Linked DNA regions of Sus scrofa. The protein of the gene in region 3 interacts with the protein of the main gene of each other region in a pairwise test. Links are inferred from orthologs where the notes say so. Each region holds a gene or a part of one and is shown on either strand. Other genes may lie near its edges. The genes, in order: KIRREL2, THEG and FHL3.

The links.
Region 1: the proteins of FHL3 (region 3) and KIRREL2 interact in binary tests that used the Homo sapiens proteins (3 or more experiments, as listed by UniProt). The two-hybrid records come from large-scale screens. The link is inferred for Sus scrofa from reciprocal best matches to the Homo sapiens genes FHL3 and KIRREL2.
Region 2: the proteins of FHL3 (region 3) and THEG interact in binary tests that used the Homo sapiens proteins (3 or more experiments, as listed by UniProt). The two-hybrid records come from large-scale screens. The link is inferred for Sus scrofa from reciprocal best matches to the Homo sapiens genes FHL3 and SPMAP2.

Annotation. Positions count from the first base shown.
Region 1 is NC_010448.4:45,272,745-45,282,697, reverse strand, and holds the start of KIRREL2 (kin of IRRE-like protein 2), read right to left. Parts: upstream 6,962-9,953; 5' UTR 6,747-6,961; coding exon 6,692-6,746; intron 6,482-6,691; coding exon 6,332-6,481; intron 5,471-6,331; coding exon 5,321-5,470; intron 5,160-5,320; coding exon 4,999-5,159; intron 4,607-4,998; coding exon 4,447-4,606; intron 4,214-4,446; coding exon 4,108-4,213; intron 3,995-4,107; coding exon 3,846-3,994; intron 3,473-3,845; coding exon 3,345-3,472; intron 3,255-3,344; coding exon 3,122-3,254; intron 2,862-3,121; coding exon 2,761-2,861; intron 2,613-2,760; coding exon 2,393-2,612; intron 1,916-2,392; coding exon 1,811-1,915; intron 1,507-1,810; coding exon 1,406-1,506; intron 1,056-1,405; coding exon 990-1,055; intron 1-989. UniProt on the Homo sapiens protein: May regulate basal insulin secretion.
Region 2 is NC_010444.4:77,889,928-77,899,880, forward strand, and holds the start of THEG (testicular haploid expressed gene protein), read left to right. Parts: upstream 1-4,615; coding exon 4,616-4,923; intron 4,924-5,848; coding exon 5,849-5,965; intron 5,966-6,164; coding exon 6,165-6,236; intron 6,237-6,733; coding exon 6,734-6,795; intron 6,796-7,334; coding exon 7,335-7,404; intron 7,405-8,123; coding exon 8,124-8,241; intron 8,242-9,953. UniProt on the Homo sapiens protein: May be involved (but not essential) in spermatogenesis.
Region 3 is NC_010448.4:93,983,480-93,993,432, reverse strand, and holds the start of FHL3 (four and a half LIM domains protein 3), read left to right. Parts: upstream 1-4,864; 5' UTR 4,865-4,905; coding exon 4,906-4,917; intron 4,918-5,567; exon of another isoform or gene 5,568-5,721; intron 5,722-9,953. UniProt on the Homo sapiens protein: Recruited by SOX15 to FOXK1 promoters where it acts as a transcriptional coactivator of FOXK1.

The DNA.
Region 1 (9,953 bases), about 49 Mb from region 3:
ATAGGTCACAGATGTGGCTTGGATCTGGCATTACTGTGGCTCTGGTGTAGGGTGGCAGCTGCAGCTCCAATTTGATCCCTAGCCTGGGAATTTCCATACACTGTGGGTGTGGCCCTAACAAGACCAAAGCAAAAAAAAAAAAAAAAAAAAAAAGGAAAGAAAAAAGAGAGAAGAGAAATTGAGATCAAGACACTCATTCATTCATTTGCCCAACAGCCCCAAGACTGATTCTGTGTCATGCCCTGTGCTGCTTCTGGAGACATCTCTTACTGGGATCCCAGGCCAATGGAGAAATGATGCATCACCAGATCGAGCCAGGAAGGGTCAAGGTGTGATGGAGGAAGTTCAGGAAGATTGACTGGGACAGTGATGGGGGAATCTTGAGACTGCGATGGGAAAGCCTAGACAACAGTGGTCATACTGTGACTGTCACATGGCTGTGACAGGTGAAACCCAGACACAATGGTCAGAGCCATGGGGAGGGAAGCATGAGCTTTCCGGGACAGGAAGTGCTTGGGCTGAGACCAGAGGCGTGATGGTAGGTGTGTATGTGAGGAAAGGTAGGAGTATTTCAGATCAAGAGAATCACATGTGTCAGGTAGAGAGGAGAGAGAGAAGGGCTCCGGACTGGGGACTGGAGTCAGTGGGGCCCAAAAGAGTTGGGGTCCCAAAGGAGGGATGTGTTTGGGGAAATGTGAGGTCAAATGGAACCTGATAGGTAGAAGGGGCCTGGGTGAAGCAACCAGGGAGAGGCATCTGGGCCTGAAACACAACTGATGGGGAAAGCACAGGCAGAGGGAACATTGATCTGGAGCTCAAGGTGGAGGGCAAGGCTGGGCAGATATATGGGCAGAGTCAGCAGATATACAGCCCAGGAGGCAGCAAGAATGGGTGCAGGGGGGTAGGTGCCAGCTCTGAGGGCAACTGAATGAAAAAGGAGGGGGAGTTGGAGACACATTGAACAGAGCCCCTCTTTTCCCAACGCTCACCTTGGTCTCCAGAGCCCTCTCCTCATCCAGAACGAGGTCACTGTGGTCTGTGTGCATGATGGGGCCCTAGGGTAGGGTGCTTAGTGAGAGGGAGTGTAGAGGATCCTTTGATCCCAGCGCTAGACCCCAGGGACCTTCAGTTGAACATCTGATGCCAGGCAGGAGGGACCAGGGGCACCTGGGAGCTGGGGGTCTGGATTTAGGACCACAAGTAGCCCTGGGGTGGGAGGGCATGTTGGGAGGAATAATTGGACCAGGGGCATGTTTGGACTTCACGGACACTTGGATCCAGGGGTCGCCATTGGGATTAGGGCTCTGTTTAAGTTGGGGAGGTGATAGGGCTAGGGTCATGATTGGGACTGGGTTACTGTTTGGGTCTTGGGGTATAGTCAGGTCTGGGGACCCTGGCATCCTACCTGGTCCTCACCGCTGCCTGTCTCCTCCTCAGGGCCCCTGGAACTGGAGCCGTCACTGCTGCCTTGGATTCTCACCAGGTTCTTTTGCTTGGAGAAAGAGGCTGAGGCCAGGGACATTGGGGGTGGGAGCAGAGGTAAGCAAGGGGGCTGAGTCATGGTTTGTGGGACCCATGAGCAGGAAGAGAGAGGACTGGGGCAAATCAGGTTGGGAGGCTGGGAACCAATGAGAACCCTGGCTTAGGAGGGCAAGTGGTGTGACCCTGAGGACATGGAGGTAGAGCTGGAGTGGGGCAGCAGGTCCTGAATGTAAGCCAAGCCCAGGGAGGGTCTAGAGAGGCAGGACTAGGACCAGGTCCCAGTGGGTAGGGCCTGTGTGTGGACCTGGGGTGGGGGTCAGGCACTGACCCTTGTTATGGTGCCAGCAACAGAGGGCCACCCCAGTGATGACCATAAGAAGAGTCATGGCAACAGCAGCTGCTCCCGCCACGATCCGCACAGTAGGCAGCAAGTCTGCAGGAAGTAGAGGGGGTTGTCCTAAGGAGGCTGAGCAGAAGACTGAGCAGGAACAGGGGAACAGGACTCAAGGCTTAGGTAGGGGATCTCTGGGTTCACAGGTCACCAATTCGGGGACTCCCAAGTTTTGTAGTCCTCTAGCTTGGAGTCCCTAGGTTTAGGGGCTCAGGAACTTGGGTTTTACAAGTTTAAACTCCTTGGCTTAGAGCTTGAGGGTACTGTTACTTTACAATTCTCTGTATTTGAAGGTTGCTTTTTTTTGGAGCCTCTAAGTGTGAGGGGCCTCTCAGTTTAGAATTCCGTACTTGAGGGAAATGATTGTTTGGGGGTGGGGTAGGTCTCAGGATGCAAGTCGACTCAGTTTTAAGGCTCTTAAGGTTTAGGGGTCTCTGCATTTGAAGGTCCTCTGTTTGGAGATTGTGGCATTTGGGGGCTCTGAAGTCAGATTTGGGCTCTTCGGGTCCAGGGTCTCACCTCTACGTCCCAGGGTGACCAGGGTGCCCCCCTCGCCCAACCGGTTCCGGGCACTGCAGTTGAAGCCCCGGCTAAAGTCGGACTCCTGGGTCCCCGAAATGTGTAGCACAGAGATCAGGCCTGGACCCTGTCCCCCGCGGCCCTCTGGGGCTGGAAATGTCTCCACCAGGAACCGACCCCGCGACCCCGCCGTCAGGAAGCCCTCATCCCAAGACCAGACCTGGGGGCACAAAAGAGAAAGGCCACAGAAGAAACCATGGAGTGGGGGAAGGGGCGGCAAGGTGTCGGTAGAGTCAGTGTTGGTAATACAGCAGTTTTGGGAGTCCGGCTGGAGGTCCGGGATCACCGCTGGATGGGGATTTCCTTACCACGGCTTCTGGGGCGGGGGAGGCGAAGACAAGACACTGGAGACGGGCGGGACCCCTCAGGAAGGCGGGCGCAGAGTGCAGGGCAGTCACTACTGGGGGAGCTGGTTTGGAGACAGTGGGCCAATCAGAGAAGAGGCCCCGCCCCCAGCTCCTCCTCAAGAAGGCGGGGTCATGACTGGGCACACCCACCAACCCCAACCGACTAGGCGACGCCTCTCAACAAACTGTGAACCCCACCGAGGCTTGTCTCAGCTAGGTCCCGCGGCAGTTCCCAGGTCCCGCAGTCTGTTAAGCTCCCTCACAAGGAGCCCACTTTTATCCCAAGACCTGTGGGGTCCACTAGGAAGCGCCGCTTTCTCACCGTTCACAGTTAACCTAGCTTCCGCAGCGCCGCCCCCCAGGCCCGAGAGCCCAGGCTCAGCCCTGCACACGTAGTCGCCTGCATCCTCGAGTCCCACAGCTGGAAGACGCAGAGTGGGCCCGGAGGCCATCACCTGGGATAGGAAGTGGTGTCAAGGGCAGGACCTTGAAAAGAAGCCCCGGCCACTGCCAGCCACGGCTGTAAGCCCCAGATCCTGCCTCACCTGTGCTTCCCCGCGGCGGGTCCAGGTTACCCGTGGGAGTGGATTCCCGCGCCAGACACAGCTGAAGGAGGCATCTTCCCCCACGTCTACGGACAAGGGTTTTGGCTTTGACTGCAGAATCGGCCCGACTGGAGAATAGGGAGAAAGGAGAGAGAGAGACAGAGAGAGAGACAGAGAGAGAGACAGAGAGAGAGAGAGAGAATCACATGACCAGGGAGGACTGCAACTTCTGACTCGGGATCAGCCCCTCAGGGACAACACCCACAAGGGCCCATTGAGTTAAAGCCCCCAGTCCACAACTCCGCTCACAGTCTCCAGCCCCCCCTTGCCCCGCCCCTGCTCCACTTTGGCCCAGATCCAGCACAGACTTATCCCGCCTAAATCCTACCCCTGCCCCACCTCCTCCCCTCAACCCGTAGCAGCCAAGCCCCGCAGTAGCCCCCTGGCCCATTTTGCTCGCCCCACATTTGGCCACACCCATGGCCTCGCCGCCGCTCTTACACTGCACATCCAGAGCTGTGCTGCGGTTGGCGCTACCCACTGCATTGCTGACTTCGCAGGACACCGGCTCAGTCAGGAATGAAGCATCCGCTACTACCTCCAACATTGGCCCGCGGGCCCCGAGCACCGGGGAGCCCCCCTTTGCCCACCTGCGAAGGCGGTGGGCTGTTAGTGTCCTTGCTGCTCAGGCACACCTACTCACATCCTAGCCCCAGCCCTCCCCAAGCCCTTCCAGGTGGGGAGAGATGATCTTCGTCCTCACCTATAGCCGGTGACAGGAGGCTGGGCTGTGGCCTGACATAGGAAAGTGACCTTTTCTCCCTCCTGCACTCTCTGTGGTTCTGCAGACAGAGTCACCACTGGGGGGTCTGTGGAGGTGTGTCAATGGTCAGTGGCTGATGACCTAGGAGTCCAGTTTGCAGCCTCTCCACCCTAGGAGTCCGAGACCCTAGTCTCCTCTTCCCTTTCAGCAAGGATTTAGGCTGAAATGTCCCAAATCCCCTTGGGCCCACGGCCCCCCTCTTTCCCTGAAGTCCAGGCCCTGGCCCCCTGCTTTCTCCAAGGACCTCAGGCTCCAAACCTAGTGTTCAACTGCACTCACACTGCAGGCTCAGTGTGATAGCCGTGTCCTTTCCCACAGGGAGGGCCTGGCTCCGGGCCCGGCAAACCAAGGTTGCTCCATCATCATGGCTGGAAGGCGTCAAGGATAAGATGCTCTCCACTGACCCAGTAGACCCAGTGGTTCCTTCCTTCAACAGGGTCTGTCGTTTATGAATAATAATAATAATAATGACTTCATCTACACTTACTGTAATTCTTACTCTATGTCAGGCACTCTTCTAGGCATTTATAAATATTATGGTATTTAATCTTCACAACTACCCTAGAGGTGCACACGACTACTAAGCCCATTGTGCCGATAAATAAACTGAGGGACAGCGAGTCTAAGATCCATCAACTAGCAAGCAGCTGAGCCAGGATTTGAACCCAGGTAGTCTGGCCCTAGAGTCCTTATCCTTAATGGCATACCAAGGATCCTAAGCCTTGAATCCCTGTCCTCCCATGCCCTTTTCTCCTCTGGATGAGCCTGTGATGTGTGGGTCCCCAAATTTCCCTGCATGAGCAAGGGCTGGCACAGAGACTTAGACCTGACCTGATGGAAGGTAGCCCCATCCAGCTGGACCCCATCTCGGAACCACAGCAGCTCAGGAGTGGGGTGGGCATCCCCACGACTCCGGCAGGTCAGATTTGCAGGAATCCCAGCAACCAGAGACACAGAGGGGCCGCCCAGCACCTGGGGGGCTTCTGGGGGCACTGTAGGGGTGGATCTGGGGTCAGAGCTGGATCCTGGGCCCATAGATCCTGATTTCCCAGCTCTAACCCACCACTCCTCCATTCTCTCTGGACTCCGATACTCCCAGCTAATGCAGGCAGTCCTCCTGGGCTCCCTGGGGACATGTGGGCTGGATCCTCACCCAGCACGTGCAATTGGGCTGGTCGAGAGCGGAGACCTGCTTGTGTAGCCTGACATTCATACGATGCTTGATCCTCCAGCTCCACAGGCCTAATGTGGAGGTCGTGCTGGCCACCAGCTGCATTCCCAGATATCCAGTACCGGGACCACCCTAGAGTCAGGGAAAAGGCAGTCACAGCAATGGTTCTGAGTTCCTGGCCCCAGATCTCCATCCCCAGACATCCCACCCCAGAAGAACACTACCAAAAGTGGACACTGGGCCAGAGAAACACTAACCCTCTCCCAACCCAGAGTCATTGCAAACTTGGGGGTGATAAATTCAGGGAGAAAAAGCACAAGAAAACACTTGCCATAAAAGTCAGACTATAGGAGTTCCCGTCGCGGCTCAGTGGTTAACGAATCCGACTAGGAACCATGAGGTTTCGGGTTCGATCCCTGGCCTTGCTCAGTGGGTTAAGGATCTGGCGTTGCTGTGAGCTGTGGTGTAGGTTGCAGATGCGGCTCGGATCCCACGTTGCTGTGGCTCTGGCGTAGGCTGGTGGCTACAGCTCCGATTAGACCCCTAGCCTGGGAACCTCCATATGCTGCGGGAGCAGCCCAAGAAATGGCAAAAAGACAAAAAAAAAAAAAAAAAAAAAAAGAAAAAAGAAAGAAAAAAGTCAGACTATATGCTACCTCTTGGGTGAGGAGGGAGGGCATAGGATAAGGGAGGGGAATAAGGAGAGTTTCTGGGGAGCTGGCCATGGACCTGTAGTGGTTACACGAGTGTCTATTTTAGAATTATTTGGCAAAACTTCATATATGCTTTATGTGCTTTTCTGCATGTATTTCATGTTTTACAATAAAAATAAAAAGTCCAAACCCTAGGGGTCACCTCCAAAGAAGAAGCTGAAAATTCAGGACTCCCAAATGTTTGCCTGAGCCCAGTAGTTTCCCAGACTCGAAAACGTTAAAATTGAAACTTCAGCGATAGCCCAAATCCAGGCCGCCCTGAATAGAGAGAAAGCCTCACCTGGCAGGTCCCTTTCACCGCCTAGAGCCAGTCCATCCTTAGTCCACTGAACCAGCCCCCAGTAGGCGCCCAGGGCACAGGGCAGCCGAGCCTCGTCCCCCAGCAGTACTACCAGGTCCTCGGGCTGTTGCAGGAAGTGGGGTAACAGGCCTAGGAGAGTGGGGCGGGGGAGCAGAGCAGAGCTTAGCACATTCAAGAACTCCCTCATTTAGGACCCAGGAGTCCAGACCCCAAACCCCTCTTCCCTCAGACCCAGAAGCCCAGGCTCCCAGAGTTCTCCTCCTTCAGACCCAGGAGTCCAGACCCTCAGCCCCAGCCACCCCTGTAAAGCGACAGCTGGCAAACAACCCCTCACGGTACCTGCACGCCCTCTGAGGAAGAGGAAGAAGAGGACAAGGAGTGTGGGGACCAGCATCCTGAGTGTGAGCCCCAAGGTCTAGCAGACTCGCTGTTGCACCGGCTTCCCTGCAGCTCCGGCTTCCCTGAGAGCTCCTTCGTCAATAGCACACCCCCCACCCCTCTGGAGCCCCCTTCAAGCCCGACTCGTCGCCTCAGGCTAGAAGCCCCCCAGTATCTCTCCTGGAGTTCTCCTCGTCTGCTCCGCCTCGGGCTCCCCGGCTCTGAAACGCTGGCGGGTTCGGCGCGCTGGGTCTGGGAGAGAAAGGGGAGGTCGGATGCCACTCGCCCCGCCCTGGCCCGCCCCCTGGGAGACCCGCCCTCTTCCCATTGAGAAACTCCCGCGGCCCAGACGCGGATGAATGGGAGCATGCAGGGCGGGGGCGGGCCCCCCCCAGCGGGCGGACACCCCAGCCCCCTTTCGGTCCGGGCGCTGGAACACCTGGGTCGAAGGAAGGGGTACCGGCTGGGTTGGACACCTACAACCTGCCAGGGTTGGGGGTTTGGGGGGGTTGCGGAGGAGAATGGGGAGGGAGTGGAAGAAACTTGCTCAGCCTGGGTCCTGGAGGGACAGCGCTGAGTGGAAACCGAGCTATAAATGGGAACCCCTGGGAACTTGCTAGTTTCCGCGCCCTGGGGAGGCGGGGCCCCGGGCTCCTTTGGGCTTGTGGGTCAGGAAGAGGGCACCGAGTTTGCCTGGGAGGCAGCGGGGACCCCAAGAAGAGGGGAGTTCAGCTCTCCCCACCCCAAACCCCTTCTCAAAATCTGCCTCTGCCTGCCGCGTTACCGCTGCAAACCACAGCACGTCCTGAGATCCAGGAATCCAGCCCCCGCAACTCCCCCTTTCCCAGGACCCCGCAGTCCAGGACCACCCCCTCGCCCCCACTCGGCCGTGGTTGCCGGGTGACGGCTGGGAGGCGGCGGTGCCCGGGCTGGGGCAGGCGGGGAGGCTGGGAACCGCGCAGCTTGTCCTGACGGCTGCAAGCCGCCCAGCTGGGGCGTTCCCACGCTGTCGCCCGTGCGCTGCGCAGCTGGCCGGACAGGTGGGTGGGACCCTGAGCCGACAGAGGGGGGTCCTGGGGGTCTGGGACCCTGGGTCTGACATCCTTGAGCCTGTAGGATCTGGGGATCCACATTCAGGAGCTCAGATTCTTGTATTCCTAAAGAGCAGGGGCATGGACGCCCAGGATTCTAAGACTAGGGGCTCAGATCTCGGATGACTGAGAAGCTAACGGCATGAACGCTGTGTTTCTGAGGAGCAGTTGGGGGCTCAACTAGGTGCCCTGCCTGCAGCAGAGTGCAGTTGGGAAAGGATGACCGGGGTCAGAAAATCTGGTCTTAAGTCTTAGAGTCAGTGGATTTAACCACCAATCTCTCTCCCACCCCCACACAGGCCCAGGAGGATTTGAAAATCAACAGACAGTGAACATCTGCCCTAAGTCCTGTGTGTGTTTGGGGGCGGGAGATGGAGAATTGAAGGTCTGAACTCCCCCATCCTTGGGAAGAAGTGGCTGTGGGCCTGGACTCCTGCATCTGAGACGGTGGGTCTGGGGGTCCAGACTCCTTGAACTCCTGGCTTCTGTTTGGGGGAACCAGCACCTGAATTTTTTTTTTTTTTTTTTTTTTTTTTGTCTTTTTATGGCAGCACCCAGGGCATACGGAGGTTCCCAGGCTAGGGGTCGAATCAGAGCCACAGCAACGCCAGATTCGAGCCACGTCTGCAACCTACACCACCACTCACGGCAACACTGAATCCTTAACCCACTGAATGGGGCCAGAGATGGAACCTGCGTCCTCATGGATACTAGTCAGATTCATTTCCGCTGAGCCACAACGGGAACTCCAGCCCCTGAATTTTGAAATAAGATGAGCTTGGGGCCAGGCCTCCCGAGTCTTGGGGTGGAAGTCAGGTAGTAAGGCTGTTTTTCCAGACACCTGACATCGTTTCCACTTCCTGTCTCTCTGGGGCCACGGGCGTGGAAAGATGGAGAGGCTGAGGTCCCAGGAGCATCCAGAGAAGGAAAACATCCAAGGTGGGGGTGGGGTGAGGTGGAAGGTTTGTTCTAATTAAAGGTCCCAGCAATGGACAGCTCTACGCCGTGGCCCCGAGGGACACCATCTGGTGATGGTCCTATGACAGAGCCTCCAGCTCTGCCTCCAGTCCATTCCCCAGGAGGTGTGGGGGCAGTTGGCAGAGAGAATGTGGGAGGAGGCAGGGAGTCAATGATGGGAAGGAAGAAGAAAGACTAGATGGAACATCAAGGATGGAGCTGTGGCGGCTCAGACCAGATGCCTCATCTTGTTCCTGGAGGAGGACCAGATTTGGGGGGGGATCATGGCGGGGGGAGAAAACGAGCAGTTCCAATTCCTGCAGGAGATAAGCAGGCGGAAGAAGCTTATCCCATGTGGGTGTGTATGCGCATACTGGGGTGGAAAGGGCAGGCCAACCAGCATATGGTTATAAAATTTGAAGATGTGACAATCCGGGGGACTCAGATGGAGAAACAAATAAAGTAAAGAGACACAGGAGTTCCCATGGTGGCACAGTGGAAAAGAATCTGGCTAGCATCCATAAGGATGCAGGTTCAATTCCCTGACTTGCTGAGTGGGTTAAGGATCCGGTGATGCCGTGAGCTGTAGTGCGGTTCACAAATGCAGCTCTGATTCAACCCTTAGCCTGGAAACCACCATATATATGTCTTGGGTGTGGCACTAAAATGGCAAAAAAAAAAAAAAAAAAAAAGGAGAGAGAGAGAGAGACACAAAGTTTGGCTGAAACCAAATCTTTTTTAAATTATTTTTTTGTCCCCACCAGCAGAAGTTCTCAGGCCAGGGATGGAACCTGAGCCACAGCAGTGACAATGCCGAATACTTAACCTTAACTGCTGGGCCACCAGGGAACTCCACAAATGTTGACTGAGCATTGTGTGTGAGAGACTCTGAGGTGAGATGAGAATAGAGACAGAAAGAGAAAAACAGGAGTTCCCATCCTGGTTCAGGGGTTAATGAATCGACTAGGAACCATGAGGATGTGGGTTCGATCCCTGGCCTCGCTCAGTGGGTTAAGGATCCAGCATTGCTGTGAGCTGTGGTGTAGGTCACAGATGCAGCTCGGATCTGGTGTTGCTGTAGCTGTAGTGTAGGCCAGTGGCAAGAGCTCTGATTCGACCCCTAGCCTGGGAACCTCCATATGCCACAGGTGTGGCCCTAGAAAAGGCAAAAAGAC
Region 2 (9,953 bases), on a different chromosome or scaffold from region 3:
TTTCATTTCTCCTTCAAATCTGAATGAGAGACTTGCTGAGTAATCTTAGTTGGAGGTTTTTTCCTTTTATCACTTTAAGTATATCATGCCACTCCCTTTTGGCCTGCAAACTTTCTGCTGAAAAATCTGCCGATAACCTTATCAGGGTTCCCTTGTATTTTATTTGTTTCTTTTCCCTGGCTGCTTTCAATATTTTCTCGTTGGCTTTAGTTTTGGTCAGTTTGATTAATATGTCTCAGGGTGTTCTTCCTTGGGTTTATTTTATATGGTACTCATTGTGCTTCCCGGATTTGCATGATTCCTTCCCCACATTAGGGAACTTTTCAGCTATTATCGCGTCACATTTTTTTTTCCTGGCCCTTTACCTCTCTTTCTCCTCCTTCTGGTACTCCTAGATTATGGATGTTGGTGCATTTAACGTTATTCCTGAGTTCTCTTAGACTGTCTTCATTTCTTTTTTTTTTTTTTTTTTTTTTTGTCTTTTTAGCTATTTCTTGGGCCGCTCCCCCGGCATATGGAGGTTCCCAGGCTAGGGGTCTAATCGGAGCTGTAGCCACCAGCCTACACTGGAGTTACAGCAACACCAGATCCGAGCCATGTCTGCAACCTACACCACAGCTCACAGCAACACTGGATCCTTAACCCACTGAGCAAGGCCAGGGATCAAACCTTGCAACCTCATGGTTCCTAGTCAGATTCGTTTCCGCTGCACCACAATGGGAACTCCTTTATTTCTTTTCAATCTTTTTTCTCTTTTCTGTTTCGAACCAGTGATTTCCACTAGTCTGTCTTCCACCTTGCTTATTTGTTCTTCTGCTTCCTGTATTCTGCTCCTGGTTGCTTCTAGTGAATTTTTATATCAGTCATTGTATTTTGCATCTCTGCTTGCTTAATACTTAAATCTTCTATTTATTTTTTCGTTTCTTATAATTTATCAGTCTTTGCCCCCAGCTTATTTCCAGGATCTTGAATCATCTTTTCTATCATCAGTGTAAGGTCTTTTTCATGGAGGTTGGTAATCTCCAGATCATTTAGCTGTTTTTCTGAGGTTTTCTCTAGTTCCCTTATCTGAGTCTTAATTCTCTGCCTTTTCATTTTGTATAGATTTTTGGTATGGTCTCCTTTTTGCAGACAATAGGGTTGTAGCCTCTCTTGCTTCTGACATCTGCCCCCTTGTGGCTGAAGTTGGTACGGGGGCTTGCTGCAGTCTTCCTAAATAAATAAAATTTGATAAGAGGCCAGGCAATAAATTCAGGCAAAGCTTTATTGGTGCTTCAGCAGGAGGGAGGGAAAACAAGCAACAGTTTCCCTAGCTCACTCTCCTAGGGGTTGGTGATCTGGTTCCTTTTATGGGGTGAGGGTAAGTGTGGGTCCAGGGGGCAGGACAGAGGGGTGGCTTAGGTGGTCTGCCCATCCTTTTGGTGGCGGTGTGTGCAGGGGGCATGAATAGTACCTGCTTTTACTCTTGGCTCCTGAGAAGTGGCAATTGGATTTTTGGTCTTTTTGTATCTTGTCCATAATTTGCCCCAACTGCGCATGCACACCGTTGTTTTTAGTCCCACCTATTTTCTTTGTATTTTGTTCCTTGAGGAGATGTTTGTCCTGGTGCAAGCACTGCAGCCAAGGGTCCCAGGTCCTGGGCTGTCTTAGATTTGGTGACCTGTCTCAAAGCTAAGTGGCCTCACTTTTGAGTAAGGATTTCTTACAGAACATTGTGGTGACGATTGGTCTTTCTAGTTGCAGCAACGTGGAATTTCTTTTTTTGTGAGTCATTTTATGCAAGGTGAGGGTTTAGGACACTTGAGACCAATAATGAGATTTTCCAAGGGTCTCCCAGATGGAACTGGACACTCTCGAAGAACTTCTAGGATCCTCACAGAGGTGATGACAAGGCCACAGCCAGGAGCAAAGCATTAGAGAGACAGGATTTGGAAACGGATTTGCAAACCGCAAACAGTGAGCTTGCCCCATCCACTTGGGTCTCTGGATGGCCAGCCTGAGCTGGGCCATACTCATGTCCAGGGAGAGGGTCTTGGGCCTACCTGTGTGTTGGGGGCCCAGAGCAGAACTTGAGGGGGTGGTCAGAGACACTTCCCACACAAGAGAATGGCAGGCTGGGGTCTTAAATTGTTAGTGCAAGCCTCTGTGCCACAGTGAGGCCAAACAAAGCAAAATGTCAGAGTTTGGAGCAGAGAAAGATTTACTGCAGGGCCATGCAAGGAGATGGGTAGTTCGTACTCCCAAAATATCCTGAACTCCTCAAAATTGCAAAGTGCTTTTAAAGGCAAGGTGAGGGAGGCATGTGGTTGGCTGATGCACACTTGGCAAGGAATCCTTTGTTCTTGCAGTTGTCCGCAGAGGTCGGGTCATGATGCTTCTGTAAGCCTCCAAGATACATATTATACTTTAGAGAGGTGCTAAAGTAGAGGATATAGAGAAAGACCCTGCCCTGAGAAGGCCCCAAAAGTTTCTGCTCTGTACACAGAGAGGGTGGACGATGCAGGTCCTATGATGCCCTGAGAGGGTTTCCCAAAATCTGGATGTTGGGCCATGAGGATGCTACAACTTTCATAACAATCACCTTCTTTGATCTTCTTCTGGGACAGCCTGTTTCAAATACCAGGTGTTGCTAGAGTTATTGCTCATGAAATATTGGGGCTGGAAGAGAACATATCAGTTGGGGTGCTTTTGGCTGCAAGGAACAGGAAGCTGAGCTACAACTTAGTCCTAAGAGAACTGAATGTGTCAGGTTACAAGAAGCCCAGACACACAGAAGGCTCCAGGGTTGCCAAGTTCAGAGGTTCAACCATGCCACCAAAGACCCATCTTTTGACTCATCGGCCTCAGGCTAGCAGGTTTCATGGTCGCAAGATGGCTGCTCGAGCTCTGGACATCACACACAGTTCCAGAAATAACCAAGAAGAAGAGATAGGATCTCTTCTTCCTGTCTCCTTTCAAGAGAGAGGACCATCCCTAGAAACCCCTGGGGACTCCATCTCAGGTCCATTCCTCAGCCAATCTTGGGGAGGGGGTGGGACTCCTGGTTAACTGTCACCGCCAGCACTAACTCCTCATTTGAGCACAGATGAGAATAAATGTAGGGTGGAGCTGGGTGTGCTCCAGCACTGAGTAATTGTTCACTCAGCAGCCCTTCCCCAAGAGCCTTCTGCAGCCCCTGATCTGAGAAGGCAATTTTCTACAGTGCAGAGGTAGACACTGAAGAAGAAATAAATAAGTGAGCAGTGTAATTTTAGGCCATGCTAAATGCCTTGCAGAAGTCAAATGAGGAGCCAGGATACAGAGAGACCTGAAAATGGGCTGCCTTCCTGAGGAGGATCCCCCAGGGCATGTGTGGGAAGAGGGACCAGCAGGTGCAAAGGCCCTGAGGTGGATAAGTAACAGGGAAGAACAAATCTGACTCTGTGTTAGATCTGTTCCTTTTACTTTAACCTTACCTTAACCTTTGTGGTTTGTTGCCTGTGCTTAGTCATACTGGCTCTACACCTTTTTGCCACCTAGAGCCTGAAATATACAGGTACATCGTGACCTGACCTCTGTGGACAGTACAAGAAAAAAGGATCCCACACCAAGAAGTTGGCAACAAGCAATCACACCCCTCCTTCATGCGGTCTTTTAAAGGGATTTGTTGACAAATGAATTTATCTACAAAACAGAGACTCACAGTCATAGAGAACAGACTTGTGGTTGCCAAGGGGGGGGATAGATGGGGAATTTGGGGTTAGTAGATGCATTTAGGTATCTACTAAATGTAATAGTAGATCTTAGAATGGTAAGCAATGAGGTCCTACTGTACAGGGCAGGGGAATATATCCAGCCTCTTGGTATAGACCATGATGAAAAATAATATGAGAAGGGGAAGGTATATGGAGTTCCCATTGTGGCTCAGCAGGTTAAGAACCCAACTAATATCCATGAGGATGTGGGTTCGATCCCTGACCTCACTCAGTGGGTTAAGGATCCGGTGTTGCCATGAACTGTGGTGTTGGCCAGCAGCTGCAACTCTGATTTGACCCCTAGCCCAGGAACTTCCATATGCTGAAGATGTGGCCATAAAAAGACAAAATTAAAAAATGAAAGAAAAAAATAGAAAAAAAAAAGAAAGGGAAGGTATATATATGTATGATATATATGCTGGGTCACTTTGCTGTACAGCAGAAATTGGCACAACATTGTAAATCAAGTATGCTTTAATTAAAAAATGAATTTAAGGAGCTTTGCTGAAAGCCTTTGGGGAGCTGGGGCTTAAGGTATGAGCCACCGGTCTCCTTGCATGGCCCTGCAGTAAATCTTTCTCTGTTCCTGACTCCAGTGTTTCATTATTGTTTGGCCTCACTGTGCCTTGTTTGGTAAGGGGTCCAGGTTTATGGAGCAGGAAGGCAAGGTGGCAGGAGGGGGCCAGGTGGGGCTGAGGTTGGAGGAGTGGGCGGCCTCCCAAGGGCCTGGTGGCTGGGGGCTGCCTGGTGGTGGGCACCTGTGGATGTGGGCGTGGAATGTGGGCAGGAGAATGTGGGTGGGCCATTCTCCTGTTGCTGGGCGACCACGACTCATTTGGGTGTTGGGGAGCAAGGCTGCAGGGTTGGGAAGGACCCAGCACATGGGGGACCAGTGGCAGAGCTCACTCTATGACCACCGCACGTCGGAGGCTGAGGGCCGGCCAGAGAGGGGGCAGAAGGACAGCGCCCCGGGCCTTCCAAGCCCTGTGTATGAGAGCCGAGGGTCCAGGGACACCAAGTACCAGGACCCAGATGATGGGCAGCTGGGGCTGGAAGGCCAGGAGGAGGAGATCCCCCCGGAAGAGGTGACTGGGGAAGAATTCCTGGGTACCAAGAACCCAGAAGAGGCCCTCCCAGAGTTGGAGAAGGTTCTGGAGAAGGATGTGGAGGAGGGTGTGCCTGAGATGAGGTGCGTAGGAGGGTGGCCACCAGCCTGGGGCAGTGGGGGTGGCCCCTGGGGTGGGTGCCCCCAGGGCCTGTGACTTCATTCTAGGCTTGAGGGTGTCAGCACCTCACTGCCCCCAGGAGTAAGTCAACACACAGCCCCTGTCCAGGTGGCAGGTGAATTTGGGTGGAAAAACTCCACCAAAGCTTCAGTTCTGGAGAGTTCAGATGGCAGAGTTGAGAAGTCACAGGGGCGGCCCTCGGTCAGACAGAGAGAAGAAGAAATGGGTGAAAGCTCCCAAGCCCAAAGCCAAAACCATCTTGAGGACCACAAATTGGCAGGAAGGCTTTAGGTGGCAGGAGGATGTGTTCTGGGTGAGCTGAGAGCCTGTGTGTCTTGGAAAGAGGCAGGTGCTCCCCCCACCTGGGGACCGAGTGCCTTGTTAGTGTGTGGGGGGCATGGGTGGACCCTTCGCCTGGACTCCTGGCCCCTGCTGCTGGGTCAGCAGGCGTCCCTCCTGTGCTGCACAGGGGCCTCGTTCTCCCTGCAGAATGCCGTGGCCCCCACAGAGCCTGTGTGAGGGGCACACATTGGGGGATGTGGCTGGCGGGGCTGGGCGTGTGCTGTGCAGGGAGCAGCAGCTGTGGCTTCCTGGGGTACTCTCTGTGCTCGTCCCCTCTTGGGTCTGACCTGCATTCGGGAAGCATCTCCTTGTCTGGTGGGGCAGGAGCGGGTCTCTGCTCCCTTTCACAGAGGAGAGAACTGGGGTGGCCATCTTCAGAGCTGGGATGTCAGTCTAGTCTTTGTGATATTAGAAGTCTCCTCCAGGCAGGCCTCCTGGGAGGGGAGGGTGAGATCCTGGGGTGGGGGCGCTGAGAGCACGTGCATAGGTCTAAGGGGCTGGGGGAGTGAGCGATCTGACCTGCCCTGACTGGCCTGCTCTCCACAGCCGTCTGTCCATCTCCCAGAGGCTCCCCAGCACCTCCGTAGGCAGGGAGAGGAGGAAGAGGAGGCGGCTGTTCGAGCTGGCCAAGCCCAAGACCAACTGGCAAGTCTTGAAAGACAGGTGAGGTCTGGCTGGGGTGGGGGAAGCAGCTTCTGGTGGCCCCTCTGCCCAGCCCTCCCCTGCCTCCCCATGACCAGCTTGGGGCAGGTGCTGAGGGAGGGGAGACTGTGACCATGGTGGCCCTGGGTGCTAGTGAAGGACAGCGAGGCCTTGAGCCAGTGGAGCCCAGCGCAAAGGCGGGTGGGCCTGTCTCGTGCAGGACAGGGTGCTGCTGCAGGGGCTATGCCTGGATCGCCCCCGGCATGAGGAACCTGCAGTTCTGTGTCTACTGGTAAGTCCCAGGTGCCCCCTGCTCCTGACCATGTGGGGGCCCTTTATTCCAGCCACCCTGCCCTCTCCTGCCTGGGACAATGTTGGGGGAAGGGCTCTCCGCTGGGGTACCTCACCCTAGGATCCCACCCAAGGATCCCCTGCACCACCTGGAGCTCTGGACTCCAGTCCTTGGGTTGTGGCCTCAGGCCCCCTTCTCAGTTATGCCTCTTTTTTTTCCAGCTCCCTCCTTTGAACACCAGCCTTGCTCAAAATATCTACACCCCCCCATGATTCTGAGGCTTTCCTGTGTCCTCCCTCACCTGCCCCCTGCCCCCCACTTGCTCTCTTCTTTCTTCCCATCTGGAAGCTGCCCCCCCTCTCCAGCTGCAATGCTCCCACTTGCAGTCCCATCTTCTGTCTGTGTTTATGGGGCGCCCTGAGTTCTGCTTCTGAGTGGGACGCGGGCCACCGAGGCCCTGGCTTTCCTCACCCTGAGCCCTGCTGGGTGTGTTCTAGGCCATCCGTGTACTGGACGGAGAGGTTTCTGGAGGACACCACACTCACCATCACGGTGCCGGGTAGGTTGACCCACTCACTGCCTCCTTTCCCCAGGGGCACCTGGCCTGGTGCCTGTGGCCGGGTCACTGCATCTCACCCTGACCTGTGTCTGGCTCTGACTGGGAGACCGCTGGGCCTCCCTGAGGGACCCTGCCCCCCATCCATCTTCCAGGGTCTCCTCTCTGGAGTCTGTCCCCGCCCCAGCTGGAGGATGGTCTGGGGAGGGGTGGGGGGACAGACTCTTCAGGGGACCACAGTGCCCTTCAGCCAGAGCGGGGGCAGCCTTAGTGAAAGATCCCGTCCCTTCCTGGGGCAGCGGATCCCTTTAAATAGAACGTTTTGAGAAAGCTCATTTCTGGAGAGGTGCTCAGGGCAGGTTCTCAGAGTTTTGTTCTCAGGGAGCACAGAGGTGCTGGAAACCCAGGCCCATCCTGACTGCATACCTCCCAGCCCGCGTGCCCTGGAGCCCCAGGTGGGGGTGTCACCTGGTACAAAGCTGGGTTCGGGAGGAAGTCCTCAGGGGGTCAGTTTCAAGGGGAGTGTTCCCTGTTTTGCGCAGAGGTGTCCCGCCGGGTGGAGGAGCTGGCCCGACCTAAAAGGTTCTACTCGGAGTATTATAACAACAACAGGTAGGGGCGACTGCCTGGGAAGCTGGAACCCCTTCCCGTGTGGGGTAACGGGGGAGGGCTGTGCTCAGCTCCCCAGACAGAACCTTCTGGCTTCAGGGGCTGCAGGCCAATGCGTGGTGTCACTTCTCGCCAGCGGGGAGGGACTCCTGGACTTCTCAGACTCTGGCTTCTCATGAGCACAGAGAGGGGAAGACACTCCTGCCCACTGTGCCGAGAGCCCACCACCATTTTTTGCCCCAGCTTTGTGACAGCAGCATCTCGCCTTAATGCAGTCTGCAGGCAATCTAACCCGCTGCAACTAGACTTAGTGCAGAGTGTAGGCCTGGGCTGGCATAACCGCTGTGTGAACATCTTAGTCCAGGGACCACCCCAGGCTCTGACAGCGGCTCATCTGCTGCATTCCAGTATCGGAGCCATGAACTGCAGCTGTTTCTGGAGCAGAGGCATAGCTGAGGCCTGGTCTTCAGAGGCCAGCCCAGTGGAAGCTCTTCCCCAGTTATTTATCAATGGCAGGGCTCATACTTGCCCCAGCAGGGGTAGCTCCATCCTTGAGGATGCGAAGGGGGAGGGGGGCCTTTGAAGAATCCCTGTTGGAGGTACTTTCCCAACCTTTCACCAGGCCGGGCCCTCCCTGACCCACAGAATCAGAGAGGTGTTATGCACACACCGCAGCACAGACGGCCCCTTGGCTGAGTATCTCCCACCTGGCTCTCCCTTAGGACCACCGCAGCCTGGCCCATCCCACGCTCCACCCTGGCATACCGACCATCCCGTCGCCTGCGGGAGCTGGCCACCCCTAAGACCCGGAATAACATCTGGAGTATAAACATGTCCGAGGTGGGTGCCTCTTTCCCTAGAGCCCCCACCAGGGCTCCCATCTACCATCCAGGGGCTCTGAGGGCCCAGGAGCACAAGAGGGAACCCTCTCCAGGGCAGCAGATGCTAACTACCTTCCTGGACCACCAGGCTTCATTGGAATTGGCCTGAGAAAAGGGTTTTCTCCCTCCCCTCTGCCTCGAAGGCAGCTTGAGGACCAGCCCCCTGCCTGCCAGCTCAGAGCGGAGGCCAGGGCCTCAGCTCCCACCTCCAACGTGGGCATGACAACCCCGCCTCAGAGATCACAGAGGTCAGTCCCTTCTGAATCCAGCCCATACCTCCCTCTGACTGAGGGCTACCCTCCTCCCCAGCTCAGGCCTCACTCTGCCCCAAAGCCTGCGGCCCCTCACACCTGTGCCCTGCACACACGCCCTCCCCCCCATTAGTAGCACAGAGTTTTGCTCTCCTGGGAGGGACCCTAGAGTGGGCATCATGTACCTACCGAAGGACACGTGGTCATTTCTGGGTTTTGGTTCCTGCAAGCGTGGCTGCCATTAGCATCTGAGAATCGTGGGAACACAGTTCCATAAACTCCAGGGTAATCACCAGAGGTGGGGGCCTGGGCAGGGGGCTGGTCTGACTTTATCAGAAAATGACCACCTGTTTCCACAGTGGCTGCTTCCTCTGGCACCATCTGTCCCTTTGCTGCTTTTTCCATTCCTTTATGTCTGGCCATTCTGGAGTTCCCGTCATGGCGCAGTGGAAAGGAATCTGACTAGCAACCATGAGGTTGCAGGTTTGATCCCTGACCTCGCTCAGTGGGTTAAGGATCTGGCGTTAACGTGAGCTGTGGTGTAGGTCACAGACATGGCTCGGATCTAATGTTGCTGTGGCTGTGGTGTAGGCTGGCAGCTGTAGCTCTGATTGGACTCCTAGCCTGGGAACTTCCATATGTCATGGGTATGGCCCTAAAAAGTTAAAAAAAAAAAAAAGTCTGGCCATTCTGACGGATGTATGGGGGTTGGCACTGTGGTTTGAGTACTGTGTCAACTGGTGTTTCTGTGTGGTTGTTTGACAGACCCCCCCACCCCACACACACTGTAACACTCTTAAGAATAACCCCCTTAAAAAAAAAAAAAAAAAGAATAACCCCTTGTGGCTCAGCGGGTTAAGAACCTGACATAGTGTCCATGAGGATGTGGGTTTGATTTCCGGCCTCATTCAGTGGGTTAAGGGCATTGCTGTGAGCTGCGATGTAGGTCACATATGCAACTCAGATCTGGCGTTGCTATGGCTGTGGCATAGGCTGGCAGTTGCAGCTGTGAATTGACCCCTGGCCCCGGGAACTTCCATATGCTAAAAAGCCAACAACAACAACAACAAAGAATAAATCCAGACATCACACCACTTTTCTCTCAGACTCTTCAGTATGGATTCCTAACAGACGAGGATAGTTTGAAAACCATAAAAGCAATGGTCACATAGAAGGATTGAACAATGATGCCATAGTGTCTGAGTACCCAGCCCATGCTCCTTTTCCCATTTCTCTCAAAAAAGGCTTCGTGTTCATCTGGTTGGATCAGGATCCAAAGCAGGGCATGGGCCCTTCGACCTATCCCACCTCTTACCTGGAGATACACCTGCTGCTTCCCAGCCCCTGCCTTGCCCTTGCTGGTTCAGTTGTCAGTTTAGCCCTTCTGTGCTCCAGCACCCTCTGTGACTCCCCAGTACCC
Region 3 (9,953 bases):
TGTACTGGACTTCACACTCGGTTGTGGGTCGGTACCTGGAAACAAGCGGCAGGCACTGCCCTAGGGCCGAGCTGGACCTGTGTGCGCCTGCTCAGTCTCATACGCCTCTTCATTTGACGTATTTACGCGGTGCGTTTAAAGCTAGGACCCCCATGAATTTTCCCCGTGTACCAGAGAAAGCTTTCTACAAGGAGACAGCGACCTTAAAGTCATGTCTGGCTCTGCCAGTTACTGGCTATGTGACTTTGGACAGGTCGCTTGACTTTAATGAACATCGTTTTTCTCATCTATAAAGCAAGGATAATAATAGCATGCACTGCTTGCCTCATAGGGCGGTCAAAGAGCTCATAGTTGAACGAAGGAGTCATATCATGGCATTAATTACAGAGTTCTAAGTCTCTCACACCCTCAAGGTGTGGCTGACAGAATGAGTGTCAGAGGCAGTACCATGTAATGATTAGGACCATAAACCACGGAGGTGTGTTCTGATCCTAACTGTTAGCAGCCAAAACAAAGTTAGCTTCACTGAACCTTATCTCCCATCTGTAAAATGGAGGTAATAATACTATACTACAGGATTGTTGTGAGAATAAAATGTTTAAATGTTTAAAGTCCTTAATACTCTGTTCGCCCATTAGTAAGTTCACAATTTATTGGACCTATTATTGTTATTATTGTTGTAATACTAAACATACTTGTAAGGATAGATAGAGAGTTGGGCACAGCGGAGCATTCCAGGGGCATTTGGCTTCTTTTCCACCATGTGAAGTTAACCTTTAGCAAGTTCTGTAATTGCATCTGCGTCTTTTTTATTTTATTTGTTTATTTATTTATTTTTGCTTTTTAGGGCTGCATCCATGGCATATGGAATTTCTCAGGCTAGAGGTCCAATCCAAGCTACAGCTGCCAGCCTACACCACAGCCACAGCAATGCTGTAGGATCCAAGCTGCATCTGTGACCTACACCACAGCTCAGAGCAACACCGGATACTTAACCCACTGAGCAAGGTCAGGGATTGAACATGTGTCCTCATGGATACTAGTCCAGTTCGTTACCGCTAAGCTACAACGGGAACTCTGCACCTGTGTCTCTTGACAGGGCTCAACCCTGCAGCTGAAGAACTCTGGGGAAATCCTTTTCTCAGTCCCCAGAGGTGCAAATCCAGTAAACCAGTGGGCATGTAAAAGCTGAAAGTCGGTGAGATCTGCTGTGGAAGAAGTTTTTCCTGCTTCTCAATCTGAGCCTTGCCCAACTAGGACCAAACACAGTAACAAAATTGCATCTCATTTGTTACTTAACCATTAAAAGACAAGAACCTTCATGATCTGGCCCACGCCCACCTTTCCAACCTCATCTCTTTTAAGAAGCCCAGGAGTTCTCCTATGCTGCAGCAGGTTAAGGATCCGGCATTCTCATTGCAGCAGCTCGTGTTGCTACTGTGGTGTGGGTTCAGTCCTGGCCTGGGAACTTACATATGTCACAGGTGTGGCCCCAAAAAATAAATTAATTAATAGGAAGCCCAGCCATCAGACAGAGTGCCCAGATGGCAGCCCCAGTAGCTCCTGCCACTTCCCCTGATGAAGGCATGCAGTGGTGAGCACACCCAGGAGAAGGCAGCTGTGCCCTGGAAGGGAAAGGAGGGGGTCCTCCAGTCAGCCACAGATTTGAATTGCACATCCACCGCCTATCAGCTTGTGATTTAGGGCCACACTGTCAAACCTTCTGAGCCCCATATCCTACTCTGTAAAATAGCAATAATATAATAAGCATTTCTTACGGCTTTTGTGAGAACTGAGGGAAGGAATGACTGTTACTTAGCATTGTACCATGCATGTAGCTGGCATTTAACCATAGGTGGAGTTCCTGTCGTGGCGCAGTGATTAATGAATCCGACTAGGAACCGTGAGGTTGCAGGTTCGATCCCTGGTCTTGCTCAGTGGGTTAAGGATCCGGCATTGCCATGAGCTGTGGTGTAGGTCGCAGACGCGGCTCGGAACCTGCATTGCTGTGGCTCTGGCGTAGGCCGGTGCCTACAGCTCCGATTAGACCTCTAGCCTGGGAACCTCCATATGCCGTGGGAGTGGCCCAAGAAAATGGCAAAAAGATGAAAAAAACCCAAAACCATAGGTTATTTTCCCTCTACCATTCCTCCCCACACTCTGTAGAAGTCACTCACTTAACATCTGCACCCACAGACCCAATGCCAGGCTTGGGCTCACAAGGAAAGTGCTTCTGGGCAATCTGAAAGAGGGTGTCTGCTTAGCCAGGAGGACTGCAGGGGCTGTATTCAGCCCAGTGGATAAGAGTGAGCAATACACCCAGAGAAAGAAGGAAGTTTTCTCACTGGGGGGAGGGGGAGGACTTGTGGTTACAAGCATCAGGAGTGATTCAGCACCCAGAGGAAACCACGAGAGGCCTGCCAGCCTTCAGTCACCCAGGGCCTCCTTTTGAAAACACTGCCAAAGTGAAAGAAGAGCTGGGAGACCCCAAGCAAGCCCCCTTCCACCACAAGATAAGGAACAGGAATGGTAGATGGAGACCTCCAGGGTGGGTGAAGGGACAACCAGATCCTACTCATCCAAAGCCAGTTGGCCAGCACTCAGGCTCTGCTTCCAGCCCCAGCTCAGACACACCTGTTCCCTGGAGCAGGGAGGAGGACTGATGGGGAACAGGAACAGGGAGTCCATGAGGCTGATCCCTAGATGTCCCTGGGGCACGTCCACCTGGGCCAACGGAAATAGAGCAAGCAGGGAAATGTGAGCCCATTAGGGAGCTGGAAATGGGGAGGGGAAAGGATCCAGCCCCTGCCATTCGCCAGTCTCTCTCTCAGTCTGGGCTGACTCAGAAATCTCCTAACCTTCCCGGGGCCCCAAGACTCCAAGTCCAAGAAGCGAAACCTCAAAACCTCAACACTTGACCAGGAAAGAGAGTATTTAGTGGTGGTGATGGAGGGCATCCTACATACAGAATAGCCTCTCTGTGCTTTCATCTGATCCTCATAAAAATGCTGTGTGCCAGGGAGTCCACCCCCTTTTTTTGCTTTTTCTTTTTTTTTGCTTTTTTGCTTTTTAGGGCCGCACTCGAGGCATATGGAGGTTCCCAGGCTAGGGGGAGCTGCAACTGCTGGCCTACGCCACAGCCACAGCAATGCAGGATCTGAGCCCTGTCTGCAACCTACACCACAGCTCACGGCAATGCGGCAATGCCGGATCCTTAACCTACTGAGCAAGGCCAGGTATTGAACCCGCATTCTAATGGATCCTAGTAGGGTTCGTTAACCACTGAGCCACGAAGGGAACTCCCGGGAGTCCACCACTCTTAGCAGATGAGAGACTGAGGCTTTAAGAGGTTAACTGACTACAGAGGCTCTAGAGCCTAAAGATGAAGCACTTTTTTTAGCATAAGGAGCCTTGACATTTGATTGTCTGGATTTGAATCCAGGCTTTGCTATTATTAGCTGTATCACCCTTGGCAGCTACTTACTTTCTCTGTGTCTCCATGTTCTCATCCTCAAAATAAGGATAAAAATACATATTTCACAAAGTTGATGGATAATCAAGTGCATTAATATATGCAAAGTACTTAGAGTCTGGTGCAAAGTAAAAACTCAGGGAATATTGGCTCTTTGTGAGTAAAACCAGAGACCAGCCCCTCCAACTCTGCCTTTGGTCCAGCACCTTCCTTATTCAGTCATAACCCCTTCCTTTCTGAAGGCTGTTGACCTTTGCCCTCCCCTCAGCCCAGAGCAAACCCCTTCTTTTTTATTTTTTTGCTTTTTAAGGCCGCATTCACAACATATGGAAGTTCCCAGGCTGGGAGTCAAATCAAAGCTACAGCTGCCAGCCTACACAGCCACCACAGCCACTGCAACAAGGGATCCCCGACTCACTGAGGGAGGCCAGGAATCAAACCCACATCCTCATGGATACTAGTCGGATTTGTTTCCACTGTGCCACAACTGGGAACTCCCAGTAAACCCTTTCTTGCCCTCATCCAACCAGGCAGTCTTCCCTGCACTCCCCAGGGCTGGGAGTCTCCTACACCTGCAAGATAAGTTCCAGAGCAAGGGTCAACACAGGCACTGGCTGCTTCCTCCCCGGACTCCAGAAGCATATGCCTGCAGTCCAATCCGGGCACCTAAGGGTCCAATGACATGGAAGCAGTGTTTGTCACTCATTCATTCATCAGATATTTATTAAGTGCCAGAATCAGAAGGACCTGGTCCCTGCCCTCATGGCCCTTACAGTTTAGGCATGAGGAACAATGATAATTAACAAGCAGTTAGTTAATTTTGAAAGGAAACCTGGCCTCCAGGGTGTCTTGGGGCCCTCAGGCAGGCATGGGATTCAGAGGTTGGAGAGGAGGGTACTCAGGAGCCCCAGCCTGGGAAGGAATGAGTCTCTGCCCAGGGAGCTTGTTTGGACCCAGCCTGGGGGATGGGAGAGCCTCTCTGGGCACCTGAACCTCTACTCTAGACCCTGAGGTTATTTCCAGGGTTGGTTTGTTGTCTCTTGTTTTGCAAACAGCCCAGCAGAGCCTCCTCCTCCCTCCCCAACCCTTCCAGACCATGGCTATTTATTCCTAGTGACAAGCCTGAGGATCCCAGGGGGGTTGGCCTCAAGGACCTGGAGGGGCCTTGTGTCCCTGGCAGGCGCCAGTCCTCCCTCCCCGCAGGGCAGGACCCAGGGAGGAAGCCAGAAGGTTAGAAACTGCAGAGGTCGGGGAGAAGAACTTCTCTCCACCACCCCTGCAGCGCCCTGTCCATGCACACTCCTCACACTCCTTCCTGAGAAGCTCAAAAACCACGGGGGGGGGGGGGAAGGATTAGGGTATCCCCTGGGCCTCAAAGGTCAAAACTATTCCTGGACACAGTGAAAACCAAGGGAGGATTTCTCTGTTCCACCATGCAGCAGGAGGTGAGGAGGTGGTTACTCGTTTTCACGCTCAGGGTGGGAGAATAAAGCCCTTTGAAGGTCAAGGCCCTCTGGAGGGGGTCCTTGCTTCACTCCTGGTTTCCGCGGAACACCTAGGTTCCCACTTACAGAGCTGTGACAGCAGGGCCAAGCCCCCAGCCCCACCCCCAGGCTGGAATGAGTCCTCTAGTACACCTTCGGGCAGTGTGATCCCTGGGGGTAAACTGGGAGGGGGCGAGGACACGAAGAGGGCATGAGGTCCCCAAATGGACCTTGGTCGGCTGCCTCCTGTATCCTTTGCCCGAGATTGAACACAGCTAACCGCTGGGGGTGGGGGGGGGCCGGGAGAGGGGGCGAGCAAGGAGGGAGGACAGCAAAAGCTGCAGGGAGGGGACAGGGGCGGGGTCCTGGCCGCTCGGGAAGGTTGCGAGAGCCAGGTTAGGCCTGGAAGGCCGAGGGGGCTGGGGCTGGCTCCGATCTAAAAGGGAGGTGGGGGCGGGGTCTGCCCCCCTCCCCAGCCCCTAGCCACGGGGACCTGGGGCCGGGGGCGGGGTCCGCACCCCGCGGGCAGGGGCGGCCGGGGGCGGGGTCCGGGCGGGGCGGGCCCCAGCGCTCACTTCCTCGAGGAGGGGTTGGGGCCGCGCTCCCACTCGCCCACACAGTCCGTGTGCAGCCGGCAGCCTAGCCGGTAGCTCGCTCGGCCCCGCTCGGCCTGGCCCGCAGGTAGGAGCCGCCGAGGGACGCGGCCCCGGCTGCCCGGCCCTCCCTGCTCGAGCGCCGCGCCTCGCTCCCGCCGCCCGCTTCGAGGTGAGCTCCGCGCCGAGCCCCGCTCCCCATCCCGGCTCCCGGCCCTCGCCCTCGGGCGGGAAGGTAGAGGCGACCCACCGGGGGTTCAGAGCAGCCATGGCCCCCGCCTCTTGCCCTTTGCCTCCGCCGGGGTCCGGCCGCGGGCGCCAGGGACGCTCTGGGAGCCGGTGGCGCGGGGGCGCCGAGCCCTGAGGGGCGCCACGGGGACCGCACCGCCCCGGGCCTCCTGGCGGGGCGGGCGCTGCTACGCGAGTTGGGCGGGGGAAGGGGGCCAAGTTTGAAATGGAAAACCAGCGTCGAGAGCTACCGGGAGGGTTCGAGAAACCGGCTTCCAAAAAGCCTGGTGGAGCCAGAAACCGAGACAGCATAAGGAGTGACAAGCTTGGAGAGGAGGCTGCAGAGATTCCCGAAACAGGGACAGAGACTTGGGCGTAGAGTCACCGGGAGGCAGACCCGAGGCGTAGGGACCCCTCCGAGGTTTTGTGGAGCGGAGCATTTTAAGGAAAAGCATGTAATGACCCCAGAGGTGTTGTCGGCCTTTCCCAGAGCCTTGGAAGGTTCTGGGCAAGTGAGGGGCTCCAAAGCTTAAGCTTCATTAGCCTCGTGGTAAAGCAGCCTTGGAGAGGCCTAGAAAGATCCAGAGTCTAGAGTCGGAGACACTCAGGCATAGAGATGCTAAGAGATAGAGAAGGACGGTGGGGGAGGACCAAGACATTCCACCTTTTAGAGACATTGAGATGCCAAGGCTTGGGTGGACGGAGGGAGAAATCCACCGAGGCTGTCGTTGGGAGATGGCCAGTAGAGATACAGAGACATGGAAACATAAAGACAGCTGCCAAAGTGTGCAGACACAGACGTGCTGAGTGGAGCAGAGCTAGACATCAAGAGACAGATGTCATGGAGGCACAGTGACAGCTTCCAAGACAGACCCACGGGACTCAGGCCCAAAAGACTGGGAAGTGAGGATGTGGGGAGACAGAAACTCTAGACCAGTCAATCCCCCATGAGGATCTGAGACAGTAAGACACAGCAAGAAGGAGCCCCATGCAGTCCCCCAATCAGCTCCAACTTATTTTTAAACTCAAATCTTGGGCGCACTGCTTCAGTCCAGGGGGACCCGGGGTGAATGAACTGTTCCTTTCTGTCCCCAGAGCAGCTGCTGGATCCTGCTTCCCACCCCGCCTTCCCCCAAACCGCTCTGACTCCCAGCCCTCATGGGGGGAGGGGAGAGAGCCCGGAGAGTTTGGGGTTGATGCCTAGTTGGGGGGGGAGGGAAGAGTTTGGTTTCTCCCCTCAAGTCTCTTGTGAGCTCCTGTAAGCTGGGGGAGGGTCTGTGCTGATTCTGAGTCACAGCTGTGGGACCTGGCCAGGGTCCTCCTAGACATTGTGGGGGGGAAGGGCAAAGGGGGTTGAGCGGTTGGCATGGGTACTTGGAAAGGCTTCTGGGTGTCTTCCAGTCACAGGGCTGGCAACTGGGGAGAAGAGCCAGGCTCCTGTCCCAGTGATATCACCTAGCATCTCCTGTCCCCCTGCTCTTAAATGCTGACCACCCCCTCAGCCACTGCAACATTTCTAGGGAAAGAGAAACGGACTTCAGGCTGAGAGGCAGGGGACCTAGGATCTCATACCAGAGTGACTTTGGGCATGTCTCTGCCCTGTCCCTGGCCGCCGTGCTCAGCTGTAAAACGGGGATGATGTCCTATCCCGCCTGCCGTTTGGGAGATCTGATTGGTGGTGGGTGGGCGGCATTGCACTTTGTGAGAAGCCAAACAGCACGCTAGTGTCTACTCTTCTGTACCTGTGTTGGAGATTTCAGAGTTACGCTCACTGGTGTCAGACCTGCCCCCACTGGTCTTAGTGAGCACCACGCCTGGGTCTCTTTAACGGAGAACTAAGGCTTTCCCTCCTTGTTCTCTCCCTGAGCCCACCACTGAGAATGTCAAGGTCAAGTCCCAGGCTAGCCCCCTAACCCAGGCCTGGTTGAGAAGCTGTGGTCTGATCCCAGTACGAGGAAGGGGCTAATAATCAAAACACCAAGACGACTCAGTAGCTACCAGGAGCTTTCCAAGTATCATCACATTTAACCCTGACAGCAACACTAGGAGGTGGGAAGTGGTATTAGATGGGAAAACGGGCTCAGGGAGCTTAAGTGACTTGCTCAAGATCACCCAGCTTTCTGTTTCACAGTTCAAGCTTCTCCATGCCAACCACAGCCATTTATCCAGCCGTTCTGAGGTGCAGGAGGTTCATGGGGAGGTGTCAGATGTATGTGTTTGGGCCAGGTATGGGGATGTGTGTGTTGGGGGGGGTGGGCAGCACCTGAGAGCCATCTGGTAGACCGAACAGTCTTCCCACACCCCCCTACCAGCCAAGAAGGAATACAAGACTTTGGAACCCTAGCCCTGCCAGGAAAGGGGGGCGGGGGGGAGGGGCAGAGACAGGTGGGCCTTGCTACTGTCCTTCACTCTGTCCTCACCAGAGCCCAGCTGGACGGACTAGGGGAGGAGGGATTCTGGGAAAGAAACAGAAGCCACGCCCACACCCTGTTTGGGGGGCCCCTGACTCAGAGTGGTGACTGCCTCCCAGAGGGCGGACCTAGGGCTAGCCTCGGCCTGGGAAGGTGACAGGGCTGCTGGGGACCAAGCCAGGAAGGAAGGAAAGGCCAGGGCACTCCCGGACATGGCCACACACTCCACCTGTATGGCCCCCTGCTGCCCAGTGGCTGACAGCCCAGGCCACCCTCAGATGTTGAGCCAGAGGAAACCCCGGCCTGAACTGCTGGAACCAACTGAGGAGGCGTACCCTCTACCCTACAGCTGGCCCCCAGCCTGCTCTGAAGACCCCAGTTCCTGGCGGCCTCATGCCTTGGCCTGGGGTATGAACTGAGTGTCATGGAAGAAGGGCAGCTGTGAGCTCACGACCCATACCTTCCGAAGAGCGAGGCCCTGCAGGCTCGGGGTGTCTGCTGGCGCCTGGAGTCTGAACTCCAAGCCAGAGCAACGCTTGTTGGCTAGAATTTTCTGCTGGGGATGGCTGAGAAAAGGAGGGCTTTTCCTTCAACCTGAGCCAGGCCAGGCTCTAGGGAGTGCCAGTTACTGGGGTCTAATCCGGGGGAGTGAGTTGGTGGGTTCCTTTGAACAGGCTGGGTTCATCACCCCGGGCTTGGGCTCATCGGCAGCTGTGAGAACATCCCCCCCCCCCCCCCCGCCGCTTTGGTCCTGGTGGTTCCTGTCCACACACCCCGGGATCCTAGACCTCAGAGAATGGCTTTCACATTGGAGGAGGTGGGGGTGGGGAGCTCGGAATGGAGGGCTAGGAACTGGGGCAGAAGGGACTGGGAACCCCACTTCCCTAACACTCTGTACTCCCCAAGCTCCTGCGGCAGAGGCAGCTGTGCGGATGACCTCATCCCACAAACATGCTTTGTTCCTGAGAAAATGGAAAGTGTCTGAGGTTTGGTGGGGGGCTGGGTGTCTGCAGCAACAGCTCTCAGGGCCCCCCTTGCCTGACTCCCTACCTCTGAGGGGGCCCGATTGGAGAGATGTCTTCAGTGGCTCCCACTCTCTCATGCTTCACTCCCCCAGCCGCAAACTCTTTGCGAAGCCGGGGAGAAGCTGTCTCTCCCAGAGGCAGGGGGAGGGAAATAATGACCCAGGGGATGGAAAGATTCTGGGGCTTTGCCAGTTGCTGCCAGGAGTGACGCCCGGGCAGAAGATGGCAGGAGGCACACCCCATAATCTCCAGTTCCCCTCTCCCTCCCCGAGCATCTCATTTCCCTTTTTTCTTCCCTGTTGCTGGCAAAACCTGACATCTGGCCATCTGTGTTGCCACAGCTGCTGCAGATGTTGCAGGCCAAGGCTGCCCAGGCTGGTGTGATCAGAGACCCAGCAGGAGTTGGAGGGGGGTGAGGGCAGAGGGTCCAGCTGGGGAAGCTTGGCTGTGTCCAGCTTGCAGGATTTCCTTCCTGCATTACCTTGGCCGAGCCTCTGAAGCCCTTGTTGCTGGCTTCTCCTGGGAGGGGTGGCCCAATGCGACTTCTCCCATCAGCCTCCTCCACCTCCACCATTCATTGGCCCAGCATCCTTCTTACATTCCACTGTTTCCTGGATCAGGAGGCGGGTGCAAACAGCCCATTCTCATCCCTAAGCTCCGCACTGCAGAGCTCTGGGTATAACCCTAGAGTTCCCTCCTGGGAGTCAGGAGAGCGTGACCCAGTGCTGTTCATATGGGAT